Linked DNA regions of Diceros bicornis minor. The protein of the gene in region 1 interacts with the protein of each later gene in a biochemical or structural test. Links are inferred from orthologs where the notes say so. Each region holds a gene or a part of one and is shown in the gene's direction. Other genes may lie near its edges.

The links. The genes of interacting proteins can lie anywhere in the genome.
Region 2: the proteins of TMED10 (region 1) and COPG1 form a complex in vitro, tested with the Homo sapiens proteins (2 studies listed by BioGRID). The link is inferred for Diceros bicornis minor from reciprocal best matches to the Homo sapiens genes TMED10 and COPG1.

Annotation. Positions count from the first base shown.
Region 1 is NC_080763.1:23,112,699-23,120,349, reverse strand, and holds the start of TMED10 (transmembrane emp24 domain-containing protein 10), read left to right. Parts: upstream 1-4,635; 5' UTR 4,636-4,670; coding exon 4,671-4,895; intron 4,896-7,651. UniProt on the Homo sapiens protein: Cargo receptor involved in protein vesicular trafficking and quality control in the endoplasmic reticulum (ER) and Golgi.
Region 2 is NC_080741.1:89,474,228-89,481,522, forward strand, and holds the start of COPG1 (coatomer subunit gamma-1), read left to right. Parts: upstream 1-4,295; 5' UTR 4,296-4,380; coding exon 4,381-4,417; intron 4,418-5,370; coding exon 5,371-5,423; intron 5,424-5,897; coding exon 5,898-5,978; intron 5,979-6,228; coding exon 6,229-6,300; intron 6,301-6,484; coding exon 6,485-6,564; intron 6,565-7,295. UniProt on the Homo sapiens protein: The coatomer is a cytosolic protein complex that binds to dilysine motifs and reversibly associates with Golgi non-clathrin-coated vesicles, which further mediate biosynthetic protein transport from the ER, via the Golgi up to the trans Golgi network.

The DNA of each region.
Region 1 (7,651 bases):
AGAGGAGAAATTAAGAGTTAAGTATGACTTGCCTATTAGTCATCTAAGTGGAGCTGTCAAGGAGGGAGCCTGATATAGACTCTGAAATTTAGGGGAGAGGTCAGGGCTGGAGATCCACATGTGGGAGTTATCGGCCCATGGATGCATTTAAAGTCATGAGACTGGGTGAGATCACCCAGAGTGCAGCGCAGAGGTTCCAGAACGAGGTCCTGGGGGACTCTAGAACTTAGAATCACTCTCTGTGTCAAAGAGTATGACACGACAAATATTGCCAAATTGCTTTCCAAAAGGGTCTTTTGTGTCTTCACGGAACCCATTTTGTTTTAGCTATTTAAAGACACATTGAGTGGCACTGTACACAAGGATGGGCAGGGACACCAGAGTTAGGGATCCTTGACTGCTCTTGCATTGGAGCTGGGGAGCCTCAAGTCACACCGGAGGATTATGCTGGTTACAGGAGGTGTCCAGAGGGCCAAAGCGCTTCAAGGACTCCCAACCAGAGAATCATCCAGCAAGCTTATTACAAATGCAGATTTTTAATAAGAGCTCCTGATTCACTGTCTGGGGTGAGGCATATTTTAAACATGCTCCCTGGGCCGGCCCCGTGGCTTAGCGGTTAAGTGCGCGCACTCCACCGCTGGCGGCCCAGGTTCGGATCCTGGGCGTGTATTGACACACAGCTTCTCCGGCCATGCTGAGGCCGCGTCCCACATGCAGCACCTAGAAGGATGTGCAGCTATGACATGCAACTATCTGCTGGGGCTTTGGGGAAAATAAATAAATAAATATTATAAAAATAAACAAATAAAAAAAAAATAAACATGCTCCCTCTCAAACAAAGGAAAGGTTGAGAAACTTGTGGCTTAGGGATACACTGGGTAGAGGGTATGTCCTTGTGACAGCTCTTCACCTCTGGAGGCTCCAGGGCCTTCAGGAATCTTAGGTGGGTCTGGCTGGGGAAGTTTCAGGATGATGGGATGACAGACTACTGAGCCAGGAAGAAACATTTTCTCTCCTTGTGGGACAGTTTCCTTTGCTCTCCAATTCAGAAGGAGGCCTTTTCCCCACACAGATGCAAACAGTACCTTCTGTAATGCAGATGCAGAGATTAAAAGTTTGAGTTCCCCTGAAGTATCTACTCTGCCCTCTAGTTCCACAGCGTAGAGGAGAGAATGTTTGTGTTTTTGTTTTGTGTCCTTATACGGAAACAAGAATAGATTTTTCAATCAAAAAAAAGATATGCAGGGGCCGGCCGATGGCGCAAACAGTTAAGTGCGCACGCTCCGCTGCGGTGGCCCGGGGTTTGCTGGTTCGGATCCCAGGCACACACCGACACATCGCTTGGCAAGCCATGCTGTGGCGGCGTCCCATACAAAGTGGAGGAAGATGGGCATGGATGTTAGCCCACAGCCAGTCTTCCTCAGCAAAAAGAGGAGGATTGGCAGATATTAGCTCAGGGCCGATCTTCCTCACCAAAAAAAAAAAAAAAAGATATACATATTGTTGGTGAAACTGAAATCGTACCTACACTTTAGATACATTGTGGATTAAATAAATTTGTGTGAAAATAGCTAAAGAATAACAGAAGGAATTTACTGTTAGGCCTTCTACTAGGAACTAATGAATCAATCCTGCATTCACTGAACCATTATTTATTGTGCCTTCTAAGTGCTGGGCACTATTTTAGATTCAGAAGACAAAGCAGTGGACAAAATAGACAAAAATCCCTGCCCCTCACAAAACAGATATCCTAGTTAGGGAGACAGATTAACAAACATGATAAATAAATACAGTCATCCCCTCTTCCACGTGGAGGATACATTCCGAGACCCCCAGTGGATGCCTGAAATGGCACATAGTACTGAATCCTATAGTACTTTTTTCCTATACATACAAATTTGAGGTGTGACGGCAAAATTAGCACCAATTTCTTTTTCCTTCTTTACAATTTCATGGATAGAAGATTCATTCTTACCATAGTTCTTAGCAACCTCAGCATACCAGGTTCTTATTTTTTCTTATTAAGTCGAGAACTATCACTTTTTCACTTACAGGAAGCACTTTATGGCTTCTCTTGGCATATCCAAATTGCCAGCATCACTACTCTTGCGCTTTGGGACCATTATTAAGTAAAATAAGGGTTATTTGAACACAAGCACTGCGATACCTCAACAGTCAATCTGATAACGGAGACGGCTACTAAGTCACTATCTGACGAGTGGTGTACACAGCGTGTATACGCTGGACAAAGCGATGATTCATGTCCTGGGCACGCTATTACTCAGAATGGCGGGCAATTTAAAACTTGCAAATTGTTTATTTCTGGAATTTTCCATGTAATATTTTCAGACCACTGTTGACCGAGGGTAACTGAAACTATAGAAAGCAAAACTGCAGATAAGGGGGGACTACTGTAAAATGTATGCTGTACTAGATAGTTGTGAGTGCTAAGGAGCGGAACATAAAGGAGGGAAGCAAAACAGGAAAGAGTTGGGGGTCTGGATAAGTGAGAATATAGGACAAGAAAGGACTTGAGAGCTGTGATTCAGGAAAGTAACTCAATTTCTCTAAGTCTCAGTTTCTTTATCTGCAAAATAATAAATAATAGCGCCTTCCTGAAAAAGGCTCAGGGCCTCAGACTGACTGTGTCACCTTACTGTGAGACTTTGGGGACAAAAGTTCTTTGGCCTCTCAGAACCTAAGTTTCCTCATCTGTAAAAGGAACAGACTTGCCCAGCCTATGTCTCATGGCTTTTGAAAATGTCAAATGAGATAATTAATGTATGAAAAAATATTTTAAAACATATAAGCTATTACAGAAATGTAAGATAGGAGGAGCTGGCCCCGTGGCTTAGCGGTTAAGTGCGCGCGCTCCACTACTGGCGGCCCGGGTTCGGATCCCCGGCGCGCACCGACGCACCGCTTCTCCGGCCATGCTGAGGCCGCGTCCCACATACAGCAACTAGAAGGATGTTCAACTATGACATACAACTATCTACTGGGGCTTTGGGGATAAAAAGGGGAAAAAAAAAAAAGAGGAGGATTGGCAATAGATGTTAGCTCAGGGCCCATCTTCCTCAGCAAAAAGAGGAGGATTGGCATGGATGTTAGCTCAGGGCTGATCTTCCTTACAAAAAAAAAAAAAAATGTAAGATAGAAATTTATGGGTTGCAAAGCTCTTGCAGATGGTCACCAGAGCCTCAGGACTCTGAGAAAACAATGAATTAGATAACTGCTTGATACTGATTCCCTGCACTGGCAGAGAAAAGGCTAACACAAATTATCAGGATGGACTGAGTAGACCAGCAATCTTATCTTACATCAGGGATAAAATAATCAAACTAAATGTTCCTAAGTGGACACCTCATAAAATAATTTTTATATGACATTTGTCAAATTTTAAAATGCTTTACAGCTCCTTTATGTTTGTTCTTGTTTTGTTTGTCGGACTTCAGTTCCAGGAAAAGAACTAGATGGACAAAGGAGTTACAAATACAGAGCAATCATTTAAATTACTAAGAGCAGATAGTCCATCTTCTGGGTTTTTCTGCAGATGCTCAACAAATATTAATCAAAGCAGATTATTCCAAACATAGGCTGTTGTGTATTCCTTTTTCATCTTCATATTTTCTGCAGCCATGAAAATTTGATAGCATCCCAGTGGTGGTGTGTTAAATCAACAAACATGTTGGTATACCTGCATGGTATAGTGGCTGGCACATACTAGGTATTCAGCAAATATTTGTTAAACTAAAGCAAGAATGATTACTGTGTAAATTTGCTTACTATAGACCAGCCAATTTGATTCCTAAAGTGTTTGGGCATTTAACACACAGAAATACTTGCTTTCCCTTGACGACACTTACCTGGTAAACCGCATTAGGTCCATCTCTCAGGCTGGACTAAAACAGAGTGTTTTATTCAATTTAAATACAAAATCCAAATTTAGTTTGAGTATTGCCTACCATCGTAGGCGCTCAATGTTTGCTAAATAAGATACACATTCAGAAAGCAGTTACTCCAGCCCAAATACCCCGCTCAAGAGCATGAACTGGACGCCTGCCCAGCTCACATTCACCAGGAGACCTCTACATTCTCTGAGGTACTGGCTCCCCTCGCCTGATAACCGAATTATAATCTGTCGTTCAGCCTCTCGACGTTTTCCTCTCAAGCGCCCAACGTCCCAGCTGTCACCAAGGCGGCGTGGTGCTGGGACAGCTCACTCTCCACCTCCGCCGCAGCCCCCGCCCCGCGCGCTTCCGCGGCCGATGGGCGGGCCCAGCGAAGTGCCTTGTGGCTGTTTCCTATTGGGACTTGGTTGCTATGGTATCACCGACCTTAAAACACGACCGGCACTGCTTCCGGAAGTTAAAGGAGAATTACTTCCAGGGCTGCACATACTTGCTATGGCCAACTGAGCCGTCACTAATGTCAAAAAAAATAAAACTTTTGCGGGAAACTCCTAGAAAATCTTACTTAACCACTTTAATTTGTGGTACAACGTGTTATTATATCCTTTCTTCCCTTTTAAAATATTTACAATATAGTCTTCTTTTATTTGCCAGTCTCCAAAATGGCGCTGACGGCATGGGAAGGTCAGAGGTGAGTCACGTGGGCCGTCCCGGTTCCGGCGCGGTAGAGGCCCGGGGTGGTGAACAGTCTCCGGCACCATGTCTGGTTTGTCTGGCCCACAGGCGCACGGTGGCCCTTGCCGGTTAGCGTTGCTGCTTTTACTCCTGCTCGGCCCCAGCTCGGTCCTCGCCATCTCCTTCCATCTGCCCGTTAACGCCCGCAAGTGCCTCCGCGAGGAGATCCACAAGGACCTGCTGGTGACCGGCGCGTACGAGATCACCGACCAGTCTGGGGGCGCTGGCGGCCTGCGCACCCACCTCAAGGTGCGGCTCCGGGCGGCGCGGGGCGGGGAGGGCAGACCGCAGGCGTCGGCCAGCCGAGGCCGAGGATGCGGGGGGTGTGGGGGAGGTCCGGCGGGCGGAGGCCTGGAGGGCGGCGTGGCCTCCCCCGAGCGCGAAGGGCGCGCCGTGGAGACCGCCCCCTCACCCTGCTCGTTGGCGTTCGCGGGGCGGAGCTGGGCGCCAAAGCCCCGGGAACCCGTGGAAGGGCCGCGAGGCCTCGGCAGATGTGGCGACAGCTGAGCTAGGGCGGCCTAGACTTTGGGTCGTGGTCAAGGTCCTATACCAGTTCTGGTCTGAGGTACCTTGAGCTGTAGCTTGGTTTTCCAAAGAAGTCTTTGGATGTTGAGTATTTCTGGGGATTGGCGTCATAAGACACATTGATACCTGCAGGAGAATAATGGACGCACTGAAGCTTACTGTGAATAACAAAACCTATTATTGTTGGAGCTTTAGTTGTGTGTCAGGTCCTGTGCTACCTTACGTATATTACCGTTTAGTTCACACACTACCCTATGAAGTAGGTACTGTTCGTCTCATTGTACACATGAGGAGACTGAGGCTCTGGTAGGTAGTAGAATAAACTGATGTCAGAGCGGGAATTGATTCTTAGTTTGGGAGTTAAGTAAGGTGAAGGAAAAGTGCTACAATCTTACTCTCTCTTGGCTTTTTATTTTTAATTCCTGTGATTGATTAAAATTAATTATTGGTCACAGAATGGTCTCAGTCTCTAGTCATTTTCTGGTACCCCAGAATCTGGACTTGGCCAAGTTTTATGTAAATTTCGACGATACTCTTGGATAGTGACAACTACTACCATGATGCCAATTTGGTCCCATTTTGCAGTTAGGATGACAGGGCCTAATCTTTGAAACTTTATTATGGTTTGATATCAGTCAAGATTTGATTGCGTTTTAGGTAACTTGATTCATTCACGGTAAGCATGTGTTTTGTTTTTAACAGAATGGGTTTTAGATCAAATAGGAAAAAACATTTTTACTTTTTAATAGAGCTTCAGGTATAATAAGACCATAATTTATGTTTAAGGTATTGGAACCCAGTAGTGGTAATAGACGCAATTTACTTATACTTTATTTAGGAGATTAAAAAAACATTGTTTTCAGGGGTATTGCTGAGTGACCCATCCTTTTATTACTTTCTTCAGGTACCAAACTTCTGTCTGGACAAGACAGCTGTGATGGCATAATTTTGGAGACATAACATTTTGGGGGTCATGCTTCTGGCTCTTCAAAGTGTAGTGCATAGAATCAGAGAATTTGACTGATGAAAGAGACTTTACTCTTATCTCCAGTGTTGCCCCCTCTGATTTGTACTTACATTTTAAAACCCTTCAGTGGCTCACTGTTGCTCATCTGATAAAGTTTAAATTTCCCAGCATGCTCTGTAGTGCTCTTCATGGTCTGTTCCTGAAACTGTTTATACTTTGTCACTCCCTACATTGCATTTTGCATATGAGCCACCCTGAACAGTACCCTAAACTCACACAAATTTTTCTTAATTGTAACTACTTATGTTTATACCTTGTCTTCTTTATTAGACTGTTAGTATCCTGAGGACAGGAATTATTTTCATGTTTGTATTTTCCAGAATGTCAAGCGTACTGCCTTGCTTCTAGTAAGCACTTAATACAGAATGCATAGTGTAGCATGACCTTGTGGGATTTACATCTCTATCCAAGACTGCTGAAGGGGCTTCAACAGCAGGAGTCTGCACATCTGTTCGCTAGCATTTTGCCCGTCACTCTGTTCCTTTTGCCGTGTCTGCTCTGTTCTCCTGTGACTAACCAGTTTAGTTGGACTACTCCTGGCGTCCTAAACCCAAATGCCAAGTAGGTTACATAAGTGAATGAATTGGGCCAGGTATAAGAAAGACAGCAGCAGTGGTGATAAATGGGGGATAATTGGGAGTAGGGGAAACTGTTAATTTGGAGTGGCCAGTACTCATCTCTTGTTGTCGGCCTTGTTGCCACATCTGATTTTTCAGATGAAGTCAGAAATCCAGATTTTGATGTGAAAGCTCCTGATTTTTAAATGTCACCAACTAATTCAAATTGGTTTTGGCATTGGTTTGTTTTCAGTTTTATAGAGAAGAGTACGGTCAGTCCAACATTTACACATGACCCAGATTCAACAGTTATCAGGGTCGTGCCACACTTGTGTCTTAATTGCTTCCGCCTTCTCATTTTATGCTGAATCGTTTTATTTTTTTTTTAAAGATTTTATTTATTTATTTATTCCCCCCCCCCCCCAAAGCCCCAGTAGATAGTCGTATGTCATAGCTGCACATCCTTATAGTTGCTGTATGTGGGACACGGCCTCAGCATGGCCGGAGAAGCGGTGCATCGGTGCGCACCCGGGATCCGAACCTGGGTCGCCAGCAGTGGAGCGCGCTCACTTAACCGCTAAGCCACGGGGCTGGCCCTGCTGAATCGTTTTAAAGTAAATCCCAGATATCATGGTATTTCAGTCCTGCATACTTCAGCGTGAATCTCTTAAAAAATATGAGCATAATCACAGTGTTATGTGTCTCTAATCACATCTCACAAAATTAACAATAATTCCTTAATGCCATCTAATAATACCCAGTTCATATTCAAATTTCTTCACTTGTCTCAAAAATATCCATTTAAAATTAATCTGTTGTATTTCTCAAGTCTCTTTAATCTAGAGCAATCCACTCTTCCTTTTTTTCATGCTTGTTGTGTTGTTGGAGTCAGTTGT
Region 2 (7,295 bases), on another chromosome or scaffold:
TGCCACCTGGAGGGCAAGAGTGGGTGCCTCAGATGAAGGCTGGAAAAATTCTTAGAACACAATAGTTCTTTTAGCTGGGGGCGTTGGGGTGGGGGTGGTTGTGGTGAGGGTGGTGAGAAGGTACCATAGAAATAATCTCTGCTTTTTTTAAATTAAAATTTTATTGAGATAATTGTAGATTCATGAGCAGTTGTAAGAAATAATACAGAGAGATGCTGTGTACTTTACCCAGTTTCCCCCAATGGTAACGTCTTGCAGAACTATAGTATACAGATCAACGGAATAGAAGCAAGAGTCCAGAAACAAACCTATACCTTATGGTCAATTGATTTTTGACAAAGGTGATGACACAATTCAATAAGGGAAAGAATAGTCTTTTCAACAAATGGTGCTAGGACAACTGGACATCAAGAAGCAAAAGAATGAAGTTGGACCCCTATCTCACACCATATACAAAAACTAACTCAAAACTGACCAAAGACCTAAATGTAAGAGGTAAAACTATAAAACTCTTAGAAAAAAACATAGAGATAAATCTTCATGACCTTGGTTTAAGCAATGATTTGTGTGTGTGTGTGTGTGAGGAAGATCAGCCCTGAGCTAATACCTGATGCCAATTCTCCTCTTTTTTTTTTGCTGAGGAAGACTGGCCCTGGGCTAACATCCGTGCCCATCTTCCTCTACTTTATACGGGATGCCGCCACAGCACGGCTTGACAAGCAGTGCATTGGTCCATGCCTGGGATCCAAACCTGTGAACCCCGGGCTGCCAAAGCAGAGCATGCAAACTTAACCACTACGCCCCGGGGTGGCTCTGAAGCAATGATTTCTTATATATGACACCAAAAGCACAAGCAACAAAGAAAAATAAATAAATCGGACCTCATCAAAATAAAAAACTTCTGGGGGCCAGCCCTGTGGCATAGTGGTTAAGTGTGTGCGCTCTGTTGCTGGCGGCCTGGGTTTGGATCCCGGGTGCGCACTGATGCACTGCTTGTCAGGCCATGCTGTGGCGGCGTCCCATATGAAGTGGAGGAAGATAGTCACAGATGTTAGCCCAGGGCCAGTCTTCCTCAGCAAAAAAGAGGAGGATTGCCATGGATGTTAGCTCAGGGCTGATCTTCCTCACACACACACACACACACACACACACACACACACACAAATAAATTAAATAAATAAATAAATAAAACACTTCTGTGCTTCAAAGCGCACTATAAAGAAAGTGAAAAGACAACCCATAGAATGGGAGAAAATATTTGCAAATCCTATATCTGATAAGGGTCTAGCATCCAGAATATATAAAGAACTCTTACAACTCTAAGGTAAAAAGATAAGTAACCCGGAGCTGGCCCTGTGGCACAGCGGTTAAGTGCGTGTGCTCCGCTTCCGTGGCCCTGGGTTTGCAGGTTCGGATCCCGGACGTGCACAGATGACTGCTTGTCAAGCCATGCTGTGGCGGCGTCCCACATAAAGTAAAGGAAGATGGGCATGGATGTTAGCCCAGGGCCAGTCTTCCTCAGCAAAAAAGAGGAGGGTTGGCGTTGGATATTATCTCAGGGCTGGTCTTCCTCACACACACAAAAAAGAAAAGATAAGTAACCCAATTTTGAAACGGGCAAAGGATGTGAATAGACATTTCTTCAAAGAAGATATACAAATGGCCAGTAAGCACCTGAAAAGATGTTCAACATCTTTAACCATCAGGGAAATGCAAATTAAAACTACAATGAGGTACTACATCATACCCACTAGGATGGCTATAACCAAAAAGACAATAACAAGTGTGAGCAAGGATGTAGAGAAATTGGAACCCTTATTGCTGGTGGGAATATAAAGTGGTGCTGATGCAGTTTCTCAAAAAGTTAAATATAGTTATCATATGACCCAGCATTTTTACTCCTAGGTATATACTCAAGAGAAAACATACGTCACACAAAAACTTGTACACAAATGTTTGAAACAGCATTATTCACAGCCAAAAAGTGGAAACCCAAATGTCCATCAACTGATATATGGATAAACAAAATACGGTACATCCATAAAATGGAATATTATTCAGCAATAAAAAGGAATGAAGTACTGATTCATGCTACGACATGGACAGACCTTGAAAACATTATGCTAAGTGAAAGAAGCCAGACACACAATAGGCCACATATTGTATGATTTCATTTATATGAAATATTCAGAATAGGCAAATCCATAGAGACAGAAAGTAGATTCACAGTTTTGGGGGTATCAGGAAGGAGAGTGAGGAATGGAAAAAGACCGCTAATGCATACAGGTTTCTTTTGGGCATGATGAAAATGTCCTGGAATTAGTGATGACGGGTACACAGCTTTTTGAATATACTAGGAACCACTGAATTGTATACTTTAAAAGGGTGAATTTTATGGTATGTGGATTATTTCTCAATTTTTAAATACTAGTAAAATTATTAAATACTATCATAACCAGGATATGGATATTGGTACAACCTCCCAATCGTCTTAAAATGTCCCTGGTTTCTCCTGTACTTTCAGTGTTCTCTGTTTCTACAAAGGACTTAGTGATTATCTACAAAGGACTTAGTGACTATCACGAAGAATGTATATTACATTTAAAAAATAATAAAAACCCTACAATTATACATACTTAGAGCTGGAGTCACAACACACAATTCTCATTCTCAGAAAGGTATTGTCAAAATTGTCCTTGGTATCTAGTTTTATAGAATTAATATCATAACAGGATATTTTAACCTAACACAACTCATCTGTATTTCATCATCTTAACACAACAATCCAAATCTCTGGGGTTCTTTTCTGGTTTTTAACCACGAGGCATCTTTATTTCACCTTAATTATGAATACTTTTACACTCTGCTTTTCTTGTTTAATGTCTCATTTATTATAAGAAGTTTGCATATTGCCTCCCAAGTGGTCAGAAATTCATTTATCCCTTTATAAAGGGTGTGGAATATTTCATCCAATAGACATACCATAATTCCCTTAATCATCCCCTTATTGCTGGGCATTTAGAGTGTTTTCAATTATCTTGCTGCAAACTGCTGCAGTGGGCACCTTTATTTTCTTCTTTTGGATGATTTCCCCGGATAAGGGGTGGGGTTTCTGGTTAAAGATTTTGAACATCTTTCCGGCTCTTGACAATTTCACGTTGGCACAAGATCTCCTCTCCCCATCCCCTGCTTTTCCCCAGCCACCAGACTCAGCCTCCGCAAAGTCTGACCCCAAAGGGTGGCCCCTCTGCCATCACCCCTCCTCCCACTTTGCTGTCACCCCCTTCTGCTTCACCCGCCAGCCTCTGCCCCCGCCTCCTGCCGCGCCTCTCCACCTCTGGCTCACCAGGGCTCCTTCTCCTCGTCGCTGGGCTTCAGGCTGCCCTCTCCCCAGGAAAGCTGGTGCCACGCGTCGCAGCGCTGGGTCATCCTGACTCGGCTTTGCCGTAGCAAATGCAATTTGGCACGTCTGCACGCACCGTCCTTACCTTGGCCTCGAGGTGTTCTGCGTAGGTCCCCAGGAAGATACACCCTGCGTGACGTTTCGTTTTCCCCTTCCAGTCCCTTCCTGTCCCCAGCGCTAAGCGGCGGATCTAGTAAGGTGCTCGATAAATACCCAAAAAAGCAACATTGAAGTCTCTATGCTGATCTTTTATTTTAGTTGGATTCCTGAAAGTCAACAAAATACAAAACAATTTGCACCAAGAGCAGATGTGATAGGGAGTGGGCAGATATGAATTATAAGAGCAAGTTCATGCATTAATTCGCTCAAGAATTTACTGAGCACCTGCTACATGCCAACGTCATCCACGGCAGAGAATAAAAGACAATAAAAGCAATAAAGTAAGAATACAGTGTTAGGTGGTGATTCGAGCTAGGAAAAAAAATCAGGCAGGAGAAGGGGACTGAAAGTGAGGAGTGGCTAGCGAGAGCTCCCGAGAATGTGACAATAATAACAACCACAGGTATCATTAACTGGGTGTCTGCTCCGGGCCGGTGTGCTGCGGGGCCTCACCTCCGAAAGCCAGTTTAAACTCCCGCCACAACGCAGTGAGGCAGGGACGACTACTACTCCCACTGTACGATAAGGGGGGCTCAAGGCGCAGAGTTAGGGTGCCCAGTCTGAGGCCTCCACCTGCCTGCCGCCCCCCCCAGCCCTCGGCCCCGGCTCCCCAGCCTCCCCGGCCGGGACAGGGTTAACGTCGGACGGGGCTGCGCGTCCGGAATATGCGCGTGCGCAGAGCTCAGAGTGCGCGTGCGCAGAGCGCAGGGCTACGTGGCCAGCCGGAAGTGGCCTGTGCGGAACCGCCGCAGTGTCTCTGTTGGTCGCTGCTACGTCCCAGGACAGAGTTACTGTGTTGCGCCCTCGCCGGCACCACCATGCTGAAGAAATTCGACAAGAAGGACGAGGAATCAGGTGAGGAGTCCCATGCCTGTGCTTAGGCCTAGGGGAGGCCGGACCCCCGCGCAGGCTCTCAGCATCCTCCCTGGGAGCCCTCCGTTGGGGCCTCTGTCCTATCCGAGGCCGAGGCCCAATGAGGGGGCCCCCTCGGCAGGGGCATGTGCGAAGGTCCACCGCTGGTCAGTGGCAGGCCTCGGAGAGCCCGAGCATGCTCCACGGCCCTTCCACTCGCAAGCTTGGGCTGCGATTCTCTGGGTGACCATGGGCGCGTCACGCGCCTCTCTGGGCCTCAGTTTCCCCATCTGTCAGGGGAGGGGACCGAGCCAGATGCTCCTTTGTTGTTTTCTCCATCCGAACTCTTGGGATTCGCCGGGGCTGCGTTGGTGTTGTCCAAACTGGGGCGCAGTCTGCGGAGCCGGTGTCCAGTGGCTGAGAACCCTGACTCTTTCATTCTTTTACTCAGCAAACGTATGTTGAGTGCTTACTGCATGCCACGCACGGTATTGTGTCCTGATACTGCAGTAGAACAAGTGAGACACTCAGTGCTTGAGCTGGGAATTTTAGAATGATAGCAGGCATAGTGGAGAAGGCAGAGATGGATCAGATAATCACACATGTAATTAATTACAAATGTGACACGTGCTGTGAAGGAACCCTAGTTACTGGGGAGATGGTGGTCCCTGCACACAGTAGGGACTCAGTTAGGTACCAATTGCATAAATGAATGCAAAGCAGGACACTATGAGAGGAACAGAAGGATGGTCCCAGGGCCGCTAGGTGACTGTGAGTAAGTGGTTTGGGGTAGAGTGGAGCCCCCTTGCAGGAGAGCTGTTGTATCTATAGGCAGATTGTAAAGCTTTGATTGCCATGCCAGAGGAGTTGCAACTTGACTAGGTAGACGATAGGGACATCTTGCTAGAATTCAGGGTCATAACCTGAATTTGGTCTTCTCTGTTCTCTGACTGTAGGTGGAGGCTCCAACCCATTCCAGCACCTTGAGAAGAGTGCAGTACTCCAGGAGGCAAGTGTCGTTTGCTCCCCTGTATCTTCCATCATAAATGTTCATGATTGCATAAATGTTCATGATTGATGCGATCGAAATACTAATACATTCAAACTGCTGGTTTAAAAAACAATAGGAGAGAAACCTGTTCCTGGAAAGACAGAAAAACTTTGTTCCTGAAGAGAGTTCGTTATGCTGACACTTTTGTTGTTGTTGTTCTTCATTTCTCTTTCTAGTTAACAAGTGTTTACTAGTATCTGTTAGTCAATAAGTCAGCGCATTCCTAATTAATATTTAGGGAAGATTTCAGGAGTTGTTAATAGATGAATTAAGAGGAAAAAACCAAAACTCTTTCCTTATGAGAATAAGCTTGTCTAGGCAAGTGTATTTATGTATTCCAGGTCTTCTCAGACATTGAATGTGCTTGAGGGGAGTCAATGGAAGGGAAATAAGTTGGGCTGGAGGTTAATATCCTTGGTCACTTCTTCTCAGGCCCGTGTATTTAACGAAACTCCCATCAACCCTCGGAAATGTGCCCATATCCTCACCAAGATCCTTTACCTCATAAACCAGGTAACAGGGTGAGACTTGAGGTTGGGGAAAACGGTATTGGGGGATGTTGGGAGTTGCCTAAGGGCTGTTTGACAGCCACCGTGTGGTTATAACCAATGGCCCAGCTCTGGGTCCCCTCAGCGTCCAACTCTGATATGTTGCCTTTAATGGAACCTCTGCACGGTCTGAGGATCCATCCTGGGCTGATTTGGCAGGAAGGGCCTTCTGGCCCCTTTGTCCCAGGCTGAGACTTCTTTCTTGATTAAAATAGGGGGAGCACCTGGGGACCACTGAAGCAACGGAGGCCTTCTTTGCCATGACCAAGCTCTTTCAGTCCAACGATGTAAGTGCCCCACCCCCAGATTTCCTCAAGAGGGGACAGCTGTGACAGGGTGGTGGGAGGGCCAGGGGAAGGTGACTCCATCTGTCAGTGTGGACTGCCTTTGTGTCGATTGGAGTTTTCTTTTCCTTTCCCTGGCCCTCATGCTGAGCCAGGGGTCATAGGGCTTTTCCCATCTCTTTTCCAGCCCACCCTCCGTCGGATGTGCTACTTAACCATCAAGGAGATGTCTTGCATCGCAGAGGATGTCATCATTGTCACCAGCAGGTGAGTCTTGGGTCTGTGGATGGCTCCTCTGATGGGTTCCATTGATACAGAGGCCATTTTTTGCCATGTGTACCAGGTCATGAGACTTTTGTTTGACATATTGCCAGGCACCCTTTCCTCTTCTGTCTCCCTCATCCTTCAGTTACTGCTGTCCATCCCATAGCAGCCTCCAGAGTGTGTGCTGTTTCCCTTTTCATTCTCTGGTCTTAACTTGGGAGCAAACCCTTCATTTACTTGATTCCTCTTAGTCAACTGAGCCAGCGTGGAACTTTCACAAAGACTTTAGTGAGTGTTCAGAGAGAACACAAGAAAAACAGACATAGAGAATGCAAGAGTATACAATTAGGCTTGCTTACCCAGTACTGGTTTCTGCATTAGGCTGAGTGATTCAGGGGACAGATGTGACTGAGGTATAGTCCCTCCCCTTAAGAACTGGGGCTTAATTCTCTTATTTCTTCCTGCAACATGTTTTGTGGGGGGATGTTATATATTCACTTGTAGGTCTATTTACAAAATAGTTATTGAGTGTTTACCAGTCCCTGTGGGTAGCTCTGGGAATAGAGCAGCAAACAAGACAGACATGGCCTCTGCAGCCCCAGAATTTACAGAGAAATAAGCAGGCAGTGGGCCCTTAAGATTGAGTAGATTACGGTTTATTGTGGGAAGTATGATGGGCTGTGAGAGCAGACCACGGGGCTCCCCAACTTGAATTCGGATCAGGAAAGGCCTCC